Macaca fascicularis: one gene and its partner. The main gene of each other region encodes a partner of the protein of the gene in region 2 in a complex. Links are inferred from orthologs where the notes say so. Each region holds a gene or a part of one and is shown on either strand. Other genes may lie near its edges.

Region 1 (7,895 bases), on a different chromosome or scaffold from region 2:
CCGGGGACATCTGGGTTCCTGTGAGTGGAACTGGGGACAGGCAGGCCTGGGCTGGAATCCAGGAGGGCCTCGAGGGGCAGGCGTGGCCCCAGGGTCCCATGGCTCAGGCTCTGGTCGCGTGGCCAGCACAGCAGTGCCGGGTCTGCCCTCACCCCCACCTCCCCCGTAGGTGCTTTTGTGCGCGTCCAGCCAGACCAGCAGCATCGTGGAATGCTGGTCCCTGCGCAAGGAGGGGCTTCCCGTGAACAACATCTTCCAGCAGATCTCCCCCGTGGGTGAGTCTCCGGCCGGCTGCGGGAGGCCCTGGGCCTGCCCTTGGGGGCAGCTGGTTTTAATTTGGAGGCGGGTCTCGCTCTGTCACCCAGGGTGGTCCTGAACCCCACCCCTAAGCGATCCTCTTGCCTTGACCTCCAGTAGTGCTAGGATCTGGGGCGTGACCCCCGTGCCTGCCGGCCTTCTGAGTGTGTTAGGCATGTAGACTCTTCCATCCTTCCACTCCCGCCGCAGCGGCTGCCACCATCCTACGCGGAGCCGGGGCTCAGAGGCGGCGTTGCTCACCCGAGCTCACCCAGCAGGGACACCGTGAGGGGCTGCAGGCGTGCAGGCGGCTGTGGAGTGTGGGTCTGTGGGTGGGGCCGTCAGGCAGCAGGGCACAGGCCAGACCGGGCGGGGGCAGTGCACGGAATCCTCCAGAAGCTGGTTCAGGGAGAGGAAGCCACGGCTCAGCGGGTCAGCTGAGGCTGCTGAGAACACGCCCCTCACCCCACCCCCGCCCCCACCCACCTCCCCAGCAGCCTCTTCTGGGGCCCCCATTCCCATCTCTATCTGCCCGATGGGCCCCCGCACCCACGGAGCCAAGCCCGTCACCCCCACCTCCGGCACAAAATCTGGGGCTGGAGCGAAGCAGGGACGCCCGCCTGCCATGACCGTGGCCAGAACAGCCACTTGGTGCTCAGAGCCTCGGCGGCTGCGGGCCCGGTTTCCGGCCTCCGCCCTGGAGAAGGGAAGTGTTTTCCTGGCAGACAAGAGCCCAGGCCTTTGCCGACGAGCGCGAATGGACCCTGGAGCGGCCGGACGTGTGGGCTGGTGCTCCTCAGAAGCCACTAATGAGCCCCTGTCGAGAGGCCCCGATGGCTCCTGGGGCCTGCAGGTGTTTACGTCAACTGCCCATTGTGGCCGCAGGGGCGGTAAAGGTGAAGAGGGCGGCTGCCCGTTCCTTCCCCCGGGCCTCGTCGTGAGTCACCAGGCAGCTGAAGAGGGCCACTGCCGTTCCTTCCCCCAGGCCTCGTTCCTTCCCCCGGGCCTTGTGGTGAGTCACCCTGCAGTTTGAGCTGCGCTGGTTCCTATGGCAGCACCTGGCGCCACCCCGCGTGGCAGGCAGGGCTGCAAGGACCCTCAGCTTCACTGCCTGGTACCCCCGCTGGGCACATCTGTGTCCACCGTCTGCCCACAACCAGACCACCGGGTAGTCCCGGGCTCCAACGCTCCTCCTCGTCTCCTGCAGCCGTCCTCACCTGCTGGCCCAGCTCCTACTCGTCCCTAAGAGCCACGTCTCACATGCACGCCACAGCCTTTCTTGGGTCTCACGTCCCTGCAGCTGGGGGCCACTGAGACACAGTCCCTGCCACACCCATCTCTTCCCCCACCACCCCACGTGCCCACCATGCCAGGCTTCAGTCCCTGCGGCACCCAGCTCTTCACCCACTGCCCCACGTCCGCACTTAGCAGCTTAGCCTCCCCCTGCTTCAAGTCCCCTGTCATTTAGAAATGCTGACCGCAGGCCGGGCGCGGTGGCTCACGCCTGTAATCCCAGCACTTTGGGAGGCCGAGGCGGGCGGATCACAAGGTCAGGAGATGGAGACCACAGTGAAACCCCGTCTCTACTAAAAATACAAAAAATTAGCCGGGCGCGGTGGCGGGCGCCTATACTCCCAGCTACTCAGGAGGCTGAGGCAGGAGAATGGCGTGAACCCGGGAGGCGGAGCTTGCAGTGAGCCGAGATCGCGCCACTGCGCTCCAGCCTGGGCAACAGCGTGAGACTCCGTCTCAAAAAAAAAAAAAAAGAAATGCTGACCGCAGCCGTCAGTTGGATGGAGGAGGGGACGTAAATCGGGCTGTGAGGGCGCCCCGGGCACCAGCTGGGCGTGTGCTCATCATGGCGGCTGCTTCACTCAGTGCTAACCCTGTCTTTCCTGTGAGAGGCTCAGTTCCACAGGGCCAGCCGCCCTGACCACTGTGTGCCCTCCCCACATCTCAGCCACTCTCTGGGCCTCAGTGTCCCCAGGGGAATGCTGCTCATGGGACCCCTGTACAGGTTTGCAGGAGGCCCAGGCTCTGTGACTGTGATACCCTGTCCAGAGCAGAGACCTCATGACGCGGGTGGCACAGAGCAGCCGTGTGGTCGTCGGCTTCAGCCAAGTAACAAGCCAGCCCCAAACCGAGCAGCTCAGACCAGCAGCCCCGCTCTGGTTCTGTGGCTGGGCTGCCTCAGCTGCTCCGTCCTGGTTCCTGTGTGTCTGCGGTCAGCAGCCGAGGTGGCGTCGCCCGTCCACTGGCCCCACATGCCCCAGCAGGCCGGCTCTGGCTGCCCTCAGTGTCCCACAAGCAGCAAGAGCAGGACCCCCCGCACATGCTCTCTGGGTCTCCGTTTTCTGTTGTTGTTGTTTTGTTTTTGACTTAGGCTCTCCCTATGTAGCCCAGGCTGGAATGCAGTGGCTTGATCTCCGCCCACTGCAGCCTCATCCTCCTGGGCTCGAGCAATCCTCCTGCCTCAGCCTCCTGAGTTGCTGGGACTACAGGCACGCGCAGGCGTGCACCACCACACCCAGCTAACGTTTGTTGTACTTTTTGTAGAGATGGGGTCTTGCTGTGTTGCCCAGGCTGGTCTTGAACTCCTGGGCTCAAGCCATCCTCTGGCCTTGGCTTCCCAAAGTGCTGGGACGGCAGGTGTGAGCCCAGGTGCCCGGCCGTGTCACACTGGCTACCACTCCGCCCGAGATGGTAGCAGAAGCCTCCGCCCTGCTGGGAGGAGCCGCGTCTTCACACACAGGCTGCCAGGCAGCAGATCTGTGGGTGCGACCGTCCCGCGTGGCTTTATTGTGTGGGGAGCCTGGAACTGTAGTTGAGGAGGGATGGAAGTCCCAGCTCAGCTGACTGAGGCCGAGAGAGTGTTAGGGTTTGCATGGCCGCAGGTCTGGGGGGGCGTCGTCTCCCCACTGTCCGCTCCAGCGAGGGGGCGAGACGGCGCCACCCCACAGGTGTCCACGAAATCCCGGGGCCGCATCCCGTTGGCCCGCCGTGGGTCACGTGCCCGTCCCGGAACCAATCAGTGGCCGAGGCACAGAGCGCTCGGATTGGCCGGGCCTCGTCTTCCGGGCGTGGGAGCGGGGCTGCGTGAGACGCGTGAGACCCGGGAGGGGCCCTGGGCGGTTGCACGCCGGGTCCTGCTGGGCTCCTGCGGCTGCTCCTCAGCCTGTCTTCACTCCGTTACCTTCCTGTTTTCCTGCCCCTGCTTTTTCAGTTGGCGACAAACAGCCCACGATTCTCAAATGGCGGATCCTGTCGGCCACCAACGATCTGGACCGTGTGTCGGCCGTGGCGCTGCCCAAGCTGCCCATCTCGCTCACCAACACCGACCTCAAGGTGGCCAGCGACACGCAGTTCTACCCTGGCCTCGGTACGGTGGAGCCAGCGGCAGCCACTCGGCCTCAGCTCACACCGGGGGAGGTGGGCCCTGAGCGCAGGCCATGGGGCCGTGGGAGCTCACACCAAGGGAGGCGGGCCCTGAGCGCAGGCCACGGGGCCGTGGGAGCTCACAGCGGGGGAGGTGGGCCCTGAGCGCAGGCCATGGGGCCGTGGGAGCTCACAGCGGGGGAGGTGGGCCCTGAGCGCAGGCCACGGGGCCGTGGGAGCTCACAGCGGGGGAGGTGGGCCCTGAGCGCAGGCCACGGGGGCCGTGGGAGCTCACAGCGGGGGAGGTGGGCCCTGAGCGCAGGCCATGGGGTCGCGGGAACTCACAGCGGGGGAGGTGGGCCCTGAGCGCAGGCCATGGGGCCGTGGGAGCTCACACCACGGGAGGCGGGCCCTGAGCCCAGGCCGCGGGGCCGTGGGAGCTCATAGGGGGGGAGGTGGGCCCTGAGCCCAGGCCGCGGGGCCGTGGGAGCTCGGCCTCCTGGGCTCTGATGGGTTCCCGATTAGGAGGCAGACGTCATCTTTCGGGATCTATGAGGCTGGCAGACAGATTCAGTGCTCTTTAATTTGTAAAGGGAGCAAATCAACAAGGGAGCAGGGGGAACTTGGGGGCGGAACTCCTTTCCGGGTAGGCTGCTCCTCTCCTCTCCGCGCTGCAGCAGCTGTAATGTGGGTCCTGAGCTCAAACGGTGGCGTCCATGCCCCTGAGTGAGTCTGTGCGCTCTTCAGTGCTGACCCTGTTTGCTCAGCTGTGAAGTGGGGACAAGTCCGCTCTAGCTCAGGTCCCTTCCTTCCCCCAGCTCCCATTCTCCCCTGGTTCCCTGGAAAGAGCGTTGATCAAAACCCGCTCAGGGTTCAGGACTGTTCTCGGAGCCTGCAGAGAGGTTCAGGGGATGCGGTTCTGTGCTCCAAAGCCCTCGGTTTATGCTCCATTTTCCAGCCTCTCTACTGCAGCGACTACTTTTATGTCCTCTTTTCCATGAGCTTTGGGCTCTGGACCCCACCTCCCCCTGGCCTTCGTACAGAGGCAGACCCCAGTGTGACTGACAGCCCCAGCCCACCACCCTAAGATGCCTCTCTTTGGGATGCCAGGAGCCCCACCCCTTGGTCCCCCACCCCTTGGTCCCCCACCTGTAGCGCCCTCGTCCCCTGTGCTCCTTGAGTGGTACATCAGCAAGGACATGGCCCCGGCTGTGAGGGGCTGGGAGCTGTGTGGCCAAGGCTGCTGACTCCTGCTCCCCTGGTGCTCAGGGGCTTTGTAACTGAAGAAGGAGCAGCTGGGGGCACGGGTACTGGATGCCGGGGAGGGCTCATCCCCTAAATGGGCAGCCTTGGCTCTCCACACGCTGCAGAGCAGGCGGCCCTCCCCAGGTGGGCGTGTCCAGGGCCCTGCCCATGCCTAAGGAGTGCCCGTGCCCCGCAGGGCTGGCCTTGGCCTTCCACGACGGCAGCGTCCACATCGTGCATCGGCTCTCACTGCAGACCATGGCCGTCTTCTACAGCTCCGCAACCCCGAGGCCCGTGGACGAGCCGGCCATCAAGCGCCCCCGCACCGCAGGCCCTGCCGTCCACTTTAAGGCCATGCAGCTCTCCTGGACCTCACTGGCCCTCGTGGGCATTGACAACCAGGGGAAGGTGAGCTGCTTGTGTGTGTGGGGCTGGGACTGATGGGGTGCCAGAGGGAGGTGCCCCCCTGGGGAAGGGACTGCAGGTGCAAGCCCCTCGCCAGCCCCTGCCTGGGCTGCCTCGTCTGTGCCATGGGTTCATCTCGATGAGCGAGGTCACTGGGGTGGCTCACAGCGCATATTAGGAGCTTCCTAGCTAGGAGCTGTTGAGAGGACCGCCTTTCACGAGGTGGACTCCTCAGTTAAAGGAGACGAGTGTAAGCCTGGCTCCGCGTCCAGCGCAGTCAGGGCTCGGGAAGTTTTCCTTCCCTGTTCCCAGAGGCGTTGTCCATGACCCTGACAGAAAGGTGCAGGCAGTACAGACACATGCACGCACACGGGCCGGCACATGGGGGCGTGCACATACAGGCCCACAAGCATGGCTGGCCCACCGGTCCACTGGCCCATGGGTCCATCTGGAGCCTTCAAAGTAGGCTCAATAAAGGGCCTCGCTTGCCTCATTGCTTCCAGAGTGGGCCCAGAGCCACCTGGAGAGGAGCTGCAGGTCCCTTCCCCGCCCCCGACAACACGCACCTCAGCCCCAGGGCCCCATGCCCCTCCCGGCTGAGGTTGCAGCCCCACGTCTCACCCGGCTTTCCCTGGGCTCTGTCTCTGGCAGCTGAGCGTGCTCCGCCTCTCGCCCTCCATGGGCCACCCGCTGGAGGTGGGACTGGCACTGCGGCACCTGCTTTTCCTGCTGGAGTACTGCATGGTAACCGGCTATGACTGGTGGGACATCCTGCTGCACGTGCAGCCCAGCATGGTGCAGAGCCTGGTGGAGAAGCTGCATGAGGAGTACACGCGCCAGACCGCTGCCCTGCAGCAGGTGAGGTCATGTGGCAGGTGGGGCCCCGTGGCAGGTGGGGGCGGCCCTGCAGCAGGCAGGGGCCCCGTGGTCAGTGAGGGGCCAGCAGCAGGGAGGGGGGTCCCCGCATTAGTTGTGGAGGTCTCTGCGGCAGACGTGGGGGTCCCAGCAGCAGACGGGGTTGTGGCAGCTGTGGTGGGTCCCTGTGGCAGATCAGGGGCTCTGTGGCAGGCGGAGGGCAGGAGGGGCAGGTAGCCTGCAGCAGGTGAGGCTGTGCGTGGGGTGTGCACCCAGAGGCCCGTCCAGTAAAGCTGCACCTCAGAGGAGCACTTTGTTTCCCTCCTCACTTGGGAAGTTTCCTCTGTAACACGTTAAGCCTCACAGGTAAGGCCTGATGCTCCCTGGATGACTCCCTTCTCCAGTGTTCCCAGTCTGGGGGTGTCTTTCTAAGTCATCCTCTCAGAGTGAGAGAGGGTTCCAGGGTGCACACCAGGCAGGCCCATGGTGTGAGGCCTCAGCTAGCACAGTCAGAAGATGAACACACAGAGACCCGCCCATTGGAAGGAGAGCAGAGAGCGGACACGGAGGCCTGGCCGTTGGAAGGAGAGGAGAGGGCGGACACGGAGGCCTGGCCGTTGGAAGGAGAGGAGAGGGCGGACACGGAGGCCTGGCCGTTGGAAGGAGAGGAGGGGACAGAGAGGCCCGCCCATCAGAAAGGTCTCTTGCAGTGATGTCGTCATGCGCCTGCAATCTCAGAGTGTCTGCGAAAGACCTCAGATCTAACGAGCTCAACTGGCAGCTGCACATGGGACCAGCCCTCTAAACCTTAGTCGTGTTCCTCTATGCCGCCAAGAACCAATACGAAGATAAAATGGGAAAAATATCCCACTCACAGCACAGCCTGCTGAGAGACACGGGAGACCCAGGCAGGGGGCTGTGATGCTAAACCCCGGCATGGCTGGGGTCCGTAGCCAGTGACGGGGCTTGTGATGGCGAGGCCTCACTCTCTCCCTCCTTGGGCCCTCACTGCGTGCCAAGTGTTTCATTTTTGTTTTTTAGTTATTTCTATTTTTTGTAGAGATGAGGTCTTCTGTGTTACACAGGCTCTGCAACTCCCAGCCTCCAGGAATCCTCCAACCTCAGCCTCCCAAAATGCTTCAACTCATTAATTCTGTCCTGCTAGACCAGGGTCTCCCTGCAGGCACCGCGGACATCGGGGGCTGGAGCAGCCTCTGGGGTGGGGGGCATCCTGTTGAGCAGCCTCCCTGGCCTCCACTTGTCAGGGGCACCCCCAGTGGTGAGAACTAGAAATGTCTGCAGACATCACCAGGACGCCCCCGCCGGGGCAGAGCTGCTCCCAGCTGAGATCCGGCACCTGGTCCTGTGTGGCCGGTCCTCTGCGCCCGTTTTGCCACGAGGTTGCTGAGGTGCAGAGGTGAAGCAGCTTTCCCAGCTCACAGAACACCTGGGCTCAGGGTCGGACTGCTCTTCTCCCCACTGGAGCCTTGGCGGGCGCCTCTGCCACAGCCCTTTGGGGTGACCCGGCTTCCTGCCCCCAGGTTCTCTCCACCCGGATCCTGGCCATGAAGGCCTCGCTCTGCAAGCTGTCGCCCTGCACGGTGACCCGCGTGTGCGACTACCACACCAAGCTCTTCCTCATCGCCATCAGCTCCACCCTGAAGTCGCTGCTGCGCCCCCACTTCCTCAACACGCCCGACAAGAGCCCCGGCGACCGG
Region 2 (8,644 bases):
GGAGCTTAAAAGAAGGAAATAGAGTGCCACAGATGGGAAGAAATGAAAAAGGGGTTAGCTAGAGAGACACAGGCAGACTAATTACCCCAAGAGGGAGGCAGACGCTGTCCCCAGAGCAAAGAAAAGGGCAAAACAAATATATTCCATCTGAAAAGATCTTATTATTCTTTAAGATACGTCTGATTTAAGTAACAACATTCTTAATAACAGGTTTTATTAAAAAAAAAAAAGCTAAAACATATAAATACCACTGACTATGCAAACTAAAACAGTACAGGACAAGCTTTGGAACAGTAAATACGATCACATACCACTCCTAATTGTATTTCAGTTTACTATTTCAATCACTTCACTTTAATAAATTTTTAAAAGTTATTTACGCCTGGCGTGGTGGCTCACGCCTGTAATCCTAGCACTTTGGGAGGCCGAGGCGGGTGGACAGACTGCGCTCAGGAGTTTGAGACCAGTCTGGGGAACACGGTGAAACCCCGTCTCTACTAAAAATACAAAAAATTAGCCGGGCGTGGTGGCGGGCGCCTGTAGTCCCAGATACTCAGGAGGCTGAGGCAGGAGAATGGCGTGAACCCAGGAGGCGTAGCCTACAGTGAGCCAAGATCGCGCCACTGCACTCCAACCTTGGCGACAGAGACTCTGTTTCCAAAAAAAAAAAAAAAAAAAAAAACACCCAACCTCCCCCCAAAATTACTTTCATTCACGTTCAGGATCACTATCTTTTTTTTTTATTTTTGAGACAGAGTCTTACTGTGTTGCTCAGGCTGGAGTGCAGTGGCGAGATCTCAGCTCACTGCAACCTCCGCCTGCCGGGATCAAGTGTATCTCCTGCCTCGGCCTCCCAAGTAGCTGGGACTACAGGCACGTGCCACCATGCCCAGCTAATTTTTGTATTTTTAGTAGAGGCAGGGTTTCACCATGTTGGTCAGGATGGTCTCCATCTCCTGACCCTGCGATCTGCCTGCCTCAGCCTCCCAAAGTGCTGGGACTACAGGCGTGAGCCACCGCGCCCAGCTGATCACTCTCTATTTTAAAGGTACAAGTAACTATGATTTTTGAAAATTATGCTAAAAATCAAAGCTAAACTAGAGAAAAACGTTTAAGACTGTAACCTAGTTTCAGTGGAGAAAACATATCTGACTGGTAACATGAAACCTAGAAGAAAAAACTGACTTTTAACAATATACATCAAAGCAGCTCACATCTAACTTTAATAGTCTTTTAACTTTCACAATATTATTTCTATTATGGTAAAACTAGGCCAGGTGCAGGGGCTCACACTTGTAATCCCAGCACTTTGGGAAGTTAAGATGGAAGGATCACTTCAGTTCATGAGTTCAAGACCAGCCTGGTCAACATAGCAAGACCCCATCTCTACTTAAAAAGAAAAAAAGAAAAAAAAATTAAACATTATATATCTCTCTTTTTTTTTTTTTTTCTTTTTTTTTGAGACGGAGTCTCGCTCTGTCGCCCAGGCTGGAGTACAGTGGCCGCATCTCAGCTCACTGCAAGCTCCGCCTCCCGGGTCTATGCCATTCTCCTGCCTCAGCCTCCCGAGTAGCTGGGACTACAGGCGCCCGCCACCTCACCCGGCTACTTTTTTGTATTTTTTAGTAGAGACGGGGTTTCACCGTATTTAGCCAGGCTGGTCTCGATCTCCTGACCTTGTGATCCGCCCGTCTCGGCCTCCCAAAGTGCTGGGATTACAGGCTTGAGCCACCGCGCCCGGCCTCATTATATATCTCTTAAAATTATTTTTGATTCTACAAAGTGTATTTCATGGAATCTTTAAGAAAGATCTGTTAAGTCTGTTTAGATGCTCTGCCAACTTTATTAAGACCAAAGCCCCTAAGTCAGCATTATAGTTTTATTGATAATTATGTTTTATCAACAAATATATTTTATCAATAGTTTATAGTTTTTCAACAATGTTAGTCTCCAAACATTCTAGTAAGGTGATTTTTATGACCACTTAATGATTAAAATAACTCAATACTATATCCAAGTCAATAAAAGAAAATGGAGCTTTCAGCATGATTAGAAGGCATTATCTTGCTAAAACTACTATATATACATACATCATGTATACGTATATGTATATACATACACACATTTTACACATTTAGAACTACATTAAATACAAAGAACTAGGGACTAGACTCTGCAGCAGGCATCTCATTAGAAAAACTACAAAAGCTGGAAAGCTTTCTTGAAGAAATGCAATCACTCTCAAAAATAGTAATTATCACGGGAGAGTATGTTCATTAGAATGTGAAAAGCAATTATCAAAACATACAAATGTAACACGTACATTCCTACATAAATGTTGGTCTTACTAAGTACCAGTTCAAGATACAGACACCTAGAATACATTCTATCCAGAAATAAAATAGATCCTATAGGTCATAGGGACAATAACAAAAACTTCAGAGTACTCAATTTCAAACAAGAACTTTAAAAAAATTATCTAGAAATCCTAAATTTATCTATCAAAAATCATTATCAAACTATCTTACCGAAGTGTTCGGAACCTTATAGCATACAACCAATCATTTACATTCCTATTATCTAAGATTCAGTAAATACTGACTTTGACAGTTCAAAGCTTCAGTAATTATTATGAAAAGCTATAGTTTCTCTTTCTAAAGTAGCATTTGGTCCTAAAAGTCAAGAAAATAAGGAAGTAATCACATTGATTTGCTCATAATAAAATTGTTTGTGTAACCTTTTAGATTATGATCCCATGTCCTATAAAAGCTAAACAAGTTGGCACTTGTCTCTTATTGAGTATGTGACAGAACAGTATATGAGTCACTTTCCAAAAATAACTAAATTAACATATGCCTTCATATGTTAATCAAACAGCACAAATGACAGTAACAAAATACTTACATACCTTAAAACATGCGCGCACACACACACACAAACACAAGGATAGTTACATTTCCAGTACTTTTAGAATCATCTGCCCATTTAATGCAAAAGACTCAACTTTGACAGTGGCTGAAGTGACTCAAAAGTTACATCTGGCTTCAAAACTATTACATGACTTTGTTAGGAACTCTGTTTCCTGATTCCATTTTTTGAGATTAATGTGGCATGCCTTCCTTGGACCCTAACTACCCGTGAGAAATTAAGAAGAGAGGTGGTAAAAGGAGAAAGTCATTCAAGCCTAAAAAACCCAGCTATAACATGGATAATTTGAGTAAAATAAAATAATCATGGTGAAATAAAACATGAAGCTCAATTTTTATCTGGCCTCCTACCTAAGTGTCCCACAATAACAAACTTACTTTGTAATACAAATGATATTCTGGGAGAAGTATACAATGTTGCTGTATCATTAATTAGAAATGGAAAGTTTCTTTCACCTGATAAGTCATGGTGAATAAGGTCAGCAAAATTGGGGTCTTCACCCCACCAAAATATCCACAATTCTCTTCTTCCAGGTCTTTGATCTCGCCGCCAAACACCAAGTACATCTGCCTTAAGGCAGCGACTAAAACTGCTCAAAATGGGGTCTTCTTCTGTCACAGGAAACAGAATAGGGGCAGAAGTTGGGCCTTGCCATACATATTTTTTCCATTTAATTCCCGTCAAGTCAGCCTGAATAAAAGAAAGCATGATGTTTTATTATTGCATATTCACTCAAATTCACAAAAGTACTCCATACGATGTCTCCTATTTCGTTAAGACATTACAATTTTTCAATATATGCTTGAGCTATTGAATGCAAATTAGAACCAAAAAAAAATGACTTTATAATTCAACAACCAACAATTTTAGGGAGAAGAACACAGTTAAAAATAAATACCACCATGTCACTGAATAGCAAGCAAATATGTACTCCAAGTAGAAATAAAAGAAACTGAACGAAGTTAAATATAGACAGACACACACACTTCAATATACAAACAGAGTACATTTTTCTCTGTCCTAAATGGTCACATTTATTCATTGGTGTCAAACGTTTAACTGAAAATCAATTATTAAAGACCCTATCACGGGTTTTTATTCCACATTTACAGAAGTAATGTCTCTAATGAAAAGACATCTGAACAAGTCCTGAAAAAAATCTATGTTAATTCTTCACACATACCCCTGTCGGAAAAGTCAAATAGCTGCTCACAAAGAACTGTCAGATTTGTGCTAGTCTATCTTCAAAGAGCCTGATCCTAAAAGTATCAAAAATAGACTGAGTTGGATAAGATAGAATACAAAACCTGGTGTATGTCTTATTATACGTGAAGAGATGCTGATTAATGGACATTGAAAAGAAAAACATACTGTAGAAGAGGATAGAGTATGAAAGATCTCAATTTAGCATCCAGAAAGAAATTCAAGAGGAATTCAATAATTTAATCTAACTTAAAGGTGCAAAGCATAAGGTGCCAAAAATGAAACTGCTGATACATGACTGGCAGTTTACACTTGCCAACTAGTTGTGCTCCGCCCACTTAACTCACTTATTACCTATCATATACTCTTAATATTTCTCATAGCACAAAGGAGAAAATGAAAAAATAAAGTCACCCAAACTTAAAGTCATTGATGAAGCTCAGCTACTGTCCCACACAGGCCAAGTTATTTGCAACAGTTGGTACTTTTGAAAGTCTCAACTGTTGGATGTTACCAGACCTGGGCTAACCTACACAATGGTCATCCCTACACCCAGCTTCTCTGGACTTTTCATTTCAATCAAACAAGGGAGCAGCCTGCTCAAAACATTCTGAAAAAGCAAGCAAAACACAATAAATATAGAAACAGTGCAAAACCACAGCACCTCGTCCATTAGCCCCCTTCACTCGCACAAAAAAAATTATGTTCTAATAAAAGCAAGATGGCTAGAAATTGTCAAAAATGGCAAACTGTTTTCAAAGTTTAAAAAGAAAACATATGAAATGGCACCTACTGGTTTTTACAGAGAGATCTTAAGTCACCCAAGGAAGAAACTAACCTTGCGTTAGTTTGACTCATACAAAAAAAATGTAAAACGAAGACAGGTTTCTGGGGCATAAGTTCTGGGGTCCTGTTTACATGGGGAAACCAAATTAAAAGGATGAGACATAAAGGCGGTGGGGAGCAGGGGCAATAATGGAAAGTGTGAAGCTGGGATACAAGGCCAATAAGCAGAAAAGCAACAGTTAAGAGAGAGAGAAAGGTTACTGTCCTGCCAGATAAGGAGCTCAAGTTGAGGACGAGACTACGGTGAAGAGGAGAGTCCGAAAGAAGACGAGAAAAAATGCCAACACTCCCCAAACAGGGCCCGGGACCGTGGGAGAGCGAACGCAGTCTCCCGGGGTTGGCCGCGGAGCTTCGCAGGGCGCCGGCTCCGGCTGGGCCTCGCCCGGGGACTCGGGCATCTGGACCAGACCCGGCCCCCTCCCCCACGGCCCAAGGGCGCACCTCACGGCCCCCCTCCCTCGGCGCCCGCCGGCCCCGGCACTCACCAGGCAGAAGAGGTTACAGTGACAATCTTCCAGGCTGGCCCCGTTCGGCACGAAGGAGGCACTCATCGTCCCTCACAGCAGCCGCCGCCGGCGCCACAACCCACCATCCGCCATTACCGCCGCCTCCGACCAGAGAGAGAAACACAGACACCGGGGAGGGCGTGGGGGGGTAGTGGTTGGGGGGGCGGTGGAAGAGGAGGCCGCCGGGCCGCCCGCCCTCCCCACCCACCCCCCCGCCGCCGCCGCTGCCGCCGCCGCGAGCAGCCCCCGCCGCCCGGCCGGCACCCAGCCGCCCGGGGCCGAGGGCCGGAGGCGGGAGGGCCGCGCCGCGCTCGCCTGGCGGGCCGGACTGCGGAGCCCGCAGACGCTCGTCCTTCTCTGGGAGACGGAGGGGATGTGTGCCCCTACCACAAGAAAAATAATAAATTACACAATAAATAATCAAAAACGAGTCCGAGACGGCAGAGCCCAAGCCCTGGAAGGTTCTCCCGGGCGGGGAGGCGCCCACACAGGGGCGGGAAGGGCGAGAACCGGGAGAGAAGCCCAGGCCCCCGGCCCGGCAGCGGCGATGTCCTTAAGCCCAGAGTCTCCTCAGCGGCGGAGGTGGTGGCGGCGTCTGCGGGCTCAGACCATTCTCTGGCTCTGTCTTCGTGTCGTCCCTGGGCCGAGCCGGCCTAACGTCTGCCCTCCTGCGGCCTCACCGGCTGGACGCCGTAGTCTCCCCCATTTTGTGGGCCCAGCGGGCGGTGTTTTTCCCCCTTTAATCCGAATTCACGGGTTTTCCCTTCGCTTTAATGGCGGCCACAGGGACCAGCTCGCCCTCTCTGCTCACCCATTGGCCGCCTTGAGGTCACGTGGGCCCGGGCTCCGTGGGGAGGGGGAGAGAGAAGTGAGCGAGGGAGGGCCGGGAAGCTTTCGGCCGAGGCGGTGAGCCCCGGGGACTGGGCAGCCAGCTGGTAGCCACTAACATAGCGCCACCTGCTGGGTGCCCTGGCCAGTGTAAAATGACCCGTGGCCCTGGCCCTGTCTTTGCGGGGAAATTTACAGTCCAGGAAGGTTCATTTCACAAATCAATGGGAATTACGTGGAAATCAGTTTGAGTTCTTTGGAAGAGAAAGTATTGACAAAAATTCCAAGACATTCTCATTTATTTCGCGAGGCCGCTGGGGTGCAGGCGCAAACCTCTGGATTTGGGAGTCAGACGATCTGGATGGGGACGAGACTCCACCACCTAAAAGTTGTGATATGAAGATAGAAACTTAAGAAACAAAATATTGCCCTGTAGTTAATAGACTGGGAATTAGAGCCACACTCCCTGGGTTCCAAGCTTGAGCAAATCACTTTCTGCTCTGTGTCTTGTTTCCTCGTCTGTAAAACGGGGAAAACATGCCCCTTACCCCACAAGCTTATTGTAATGAGTTAATGCAAATTAAGCAGGTAGCCCAGGGCCCTGCACAGATAAGCACTGTTAAGAGTTAACTATTATTGTTGTCATCGTTACCTCATACAGTTATTGTGAGAAGCAGGAGAACTAGTGTATGTAAAGGTCTCACTACGTTTTTGTTGTTGTTTACTTCTGTCTCTCTAGTGCCTAAAAAAAGATACCTAGCACACAGTAGGTGCTTCATATTTGTATATTTACAAATGAGTGGGTGGTAAGAAGTAAGAACCAAACAAAAGGTTCATTCTCTTTCCCATAAAACACCCAGTGCTTGGATGGGTTACACTTCAATATAAGAGTTCAAAACAGTTTCTCTGACGGTTTTAGGATTGCAAGACAGAAGAAGAAAAGATGATTCAGAAGTTAGAAATATCGGTGAGTTAGGACTTACTGTAATTTTATGTAACTATTACAGATACATAATTATGTATTATGTGTTATAGATACATAATTGTATCTGTAAACTGAATGGTAGAGTCTTCCATGTCACTTCTTCAGCCACGGAATGAAAAAGAAGTCCTTGCCGGGCGCGGTGGCTCACGCCTGTAATCCCAGCTCTCAGGGAGGCAGAGGCGGGAGGATAGCTTGAGCCCAGGAGTTCGAGACCTGCCTGGGTAATATAGCGAGACCCTGTTCTCCACAAAAAGGAAAAAAAAAAAAAAAAAAAAAGACAAAAAAAGAAAAAGAAGTCCTCATTCATCCACTTGTTCATCTGTAGTGGTGAAGAGCCCAGGTCTGAAGCCCAAAGGCTGGAGAAAAAGCTCTGCCCTGCACTAGTTAGTCTTAGACCAAATTTGACCTTAGATCAAATTAATTTCTCTTTCTCTCAGTTATTGTAAAATGGGGGTAATAAAAGTACTTTTCTCCTAAAGTGCCTGGTGAATTAAACAATGTAGATACAGTGCTTGCCACAGTGCTTACTTAATGTTAATTATTAATATAATTTTAAAAATCATTATTGAGAACCTGCTGGCTCAATTAAGTGTGTTCCTGCTCTGTGCTAGGCCTAGGATACAAATAGGAATAAGATACCTGCCTGTCCCTCAAGATTCCTGAAGAGAGGCACTAAAGGAAATATTTCCTACAGAATAAGGTAAAATACAATGGGGGTAATTGCTTAAATAAGGTATGTACCTACTATGGCATAATAAGTGCACTAGAAGAAGAGCATCAAAGTTAGGGAAGTTGTCATAAAGTAGGTAGCTTTTGAAATCAGATTTGAAGGATAAAATGAATTCTTATAAAGCCCTTTGAAGCAGTTAAATCTTATTAAACCTAATTCGAACCCAAAGTTCACATATCAAAGTCAATTATACAACCAGGACTAATTCAATCTAGGAACTCAAATCAACTAAGGTTGGTATCCTTTATAACTGAGTTCCAGCACCAGCAGACAGCAATCCCCAGATCCAATGAGGTAAGCGCTCCTCTGCCCATTTCCCTTTCCCTGAGAGACTCCTCAGATCTTTGTTCCACTGCTTTCCTCAGGCTGAAATACGCTCCTCGACCTCACATCTAAAGGGGTCTCCATTCTCCTTAGAAGTCTTGCCCTCCCGTTGCCCCCACCCCCTGACTTGAGCACCATCCTCAGGATTCCAGTGGCAGGTAGAATCTACCTGGAACCTACCAGGTAGGAGGTAACATTTGATTGACCTTTCTGTTTGAATGTCAATCTTTTCAAAAAGAAGAGGGAGACAAGGAGACAGAAGTGAAGAAGGGAGGAAGACCCAGAAGAAAAAGT

The links.
Region 1: MED13 (region 2) and MED16 share a complex: the UniProt entries of both Homo sapiens proteins name them as parts of the mediator complex. The link is inferred for Macaca fascicularis from reciprocal best matches to the Homo sapiens genes MED13 and MED16.

What each region holds. Positions count from the first base shown.
Region 1 is NC_088393.1:1,441,990-1,449,884, reverse strand, and holds part of MED16 (mediator of RNA polymerase II transcription subunit 16), read left to right. Parts: exon of another isoform or gene 1-169; coding exon 170-275; exon of another isoform or gene 276-1,309; intron 1,310-3,520; coding exon 3,521-3,676; coding exon of another isoform or gene 3,677-3,726; intron 3,727-5,113; coding exon 5,114-5,325; intron 5,326-5,973; coding exon 5,974-6,180; intron 6,181-7,718; coding exon 7,719-7,895. UniProt on the Homo sapiens protein: Component of the Mediator complex, a coactivator involved in the regulated transcription of nearly all RNA polymerase II-dependent genes.
Region 2 is NC_088390.1:46,524,393-46,533,036, forward strand, and holds the start of MED13 (mediator of RNA polymerase II transcription subunit 13), read right to left. Parts: upstream 5,606-8,644; 5' UTR 5,529-5,605; coding exon 5,463-5,528; intron 3,619-5,462; coding exon 3,384-3,618; intron 1-3,383. UniProt on the Homo sapiens protein: Component of the Mediator complex, a coactivator involved in the regulated transcription of nearly all RNA polymerase II-dependent genes.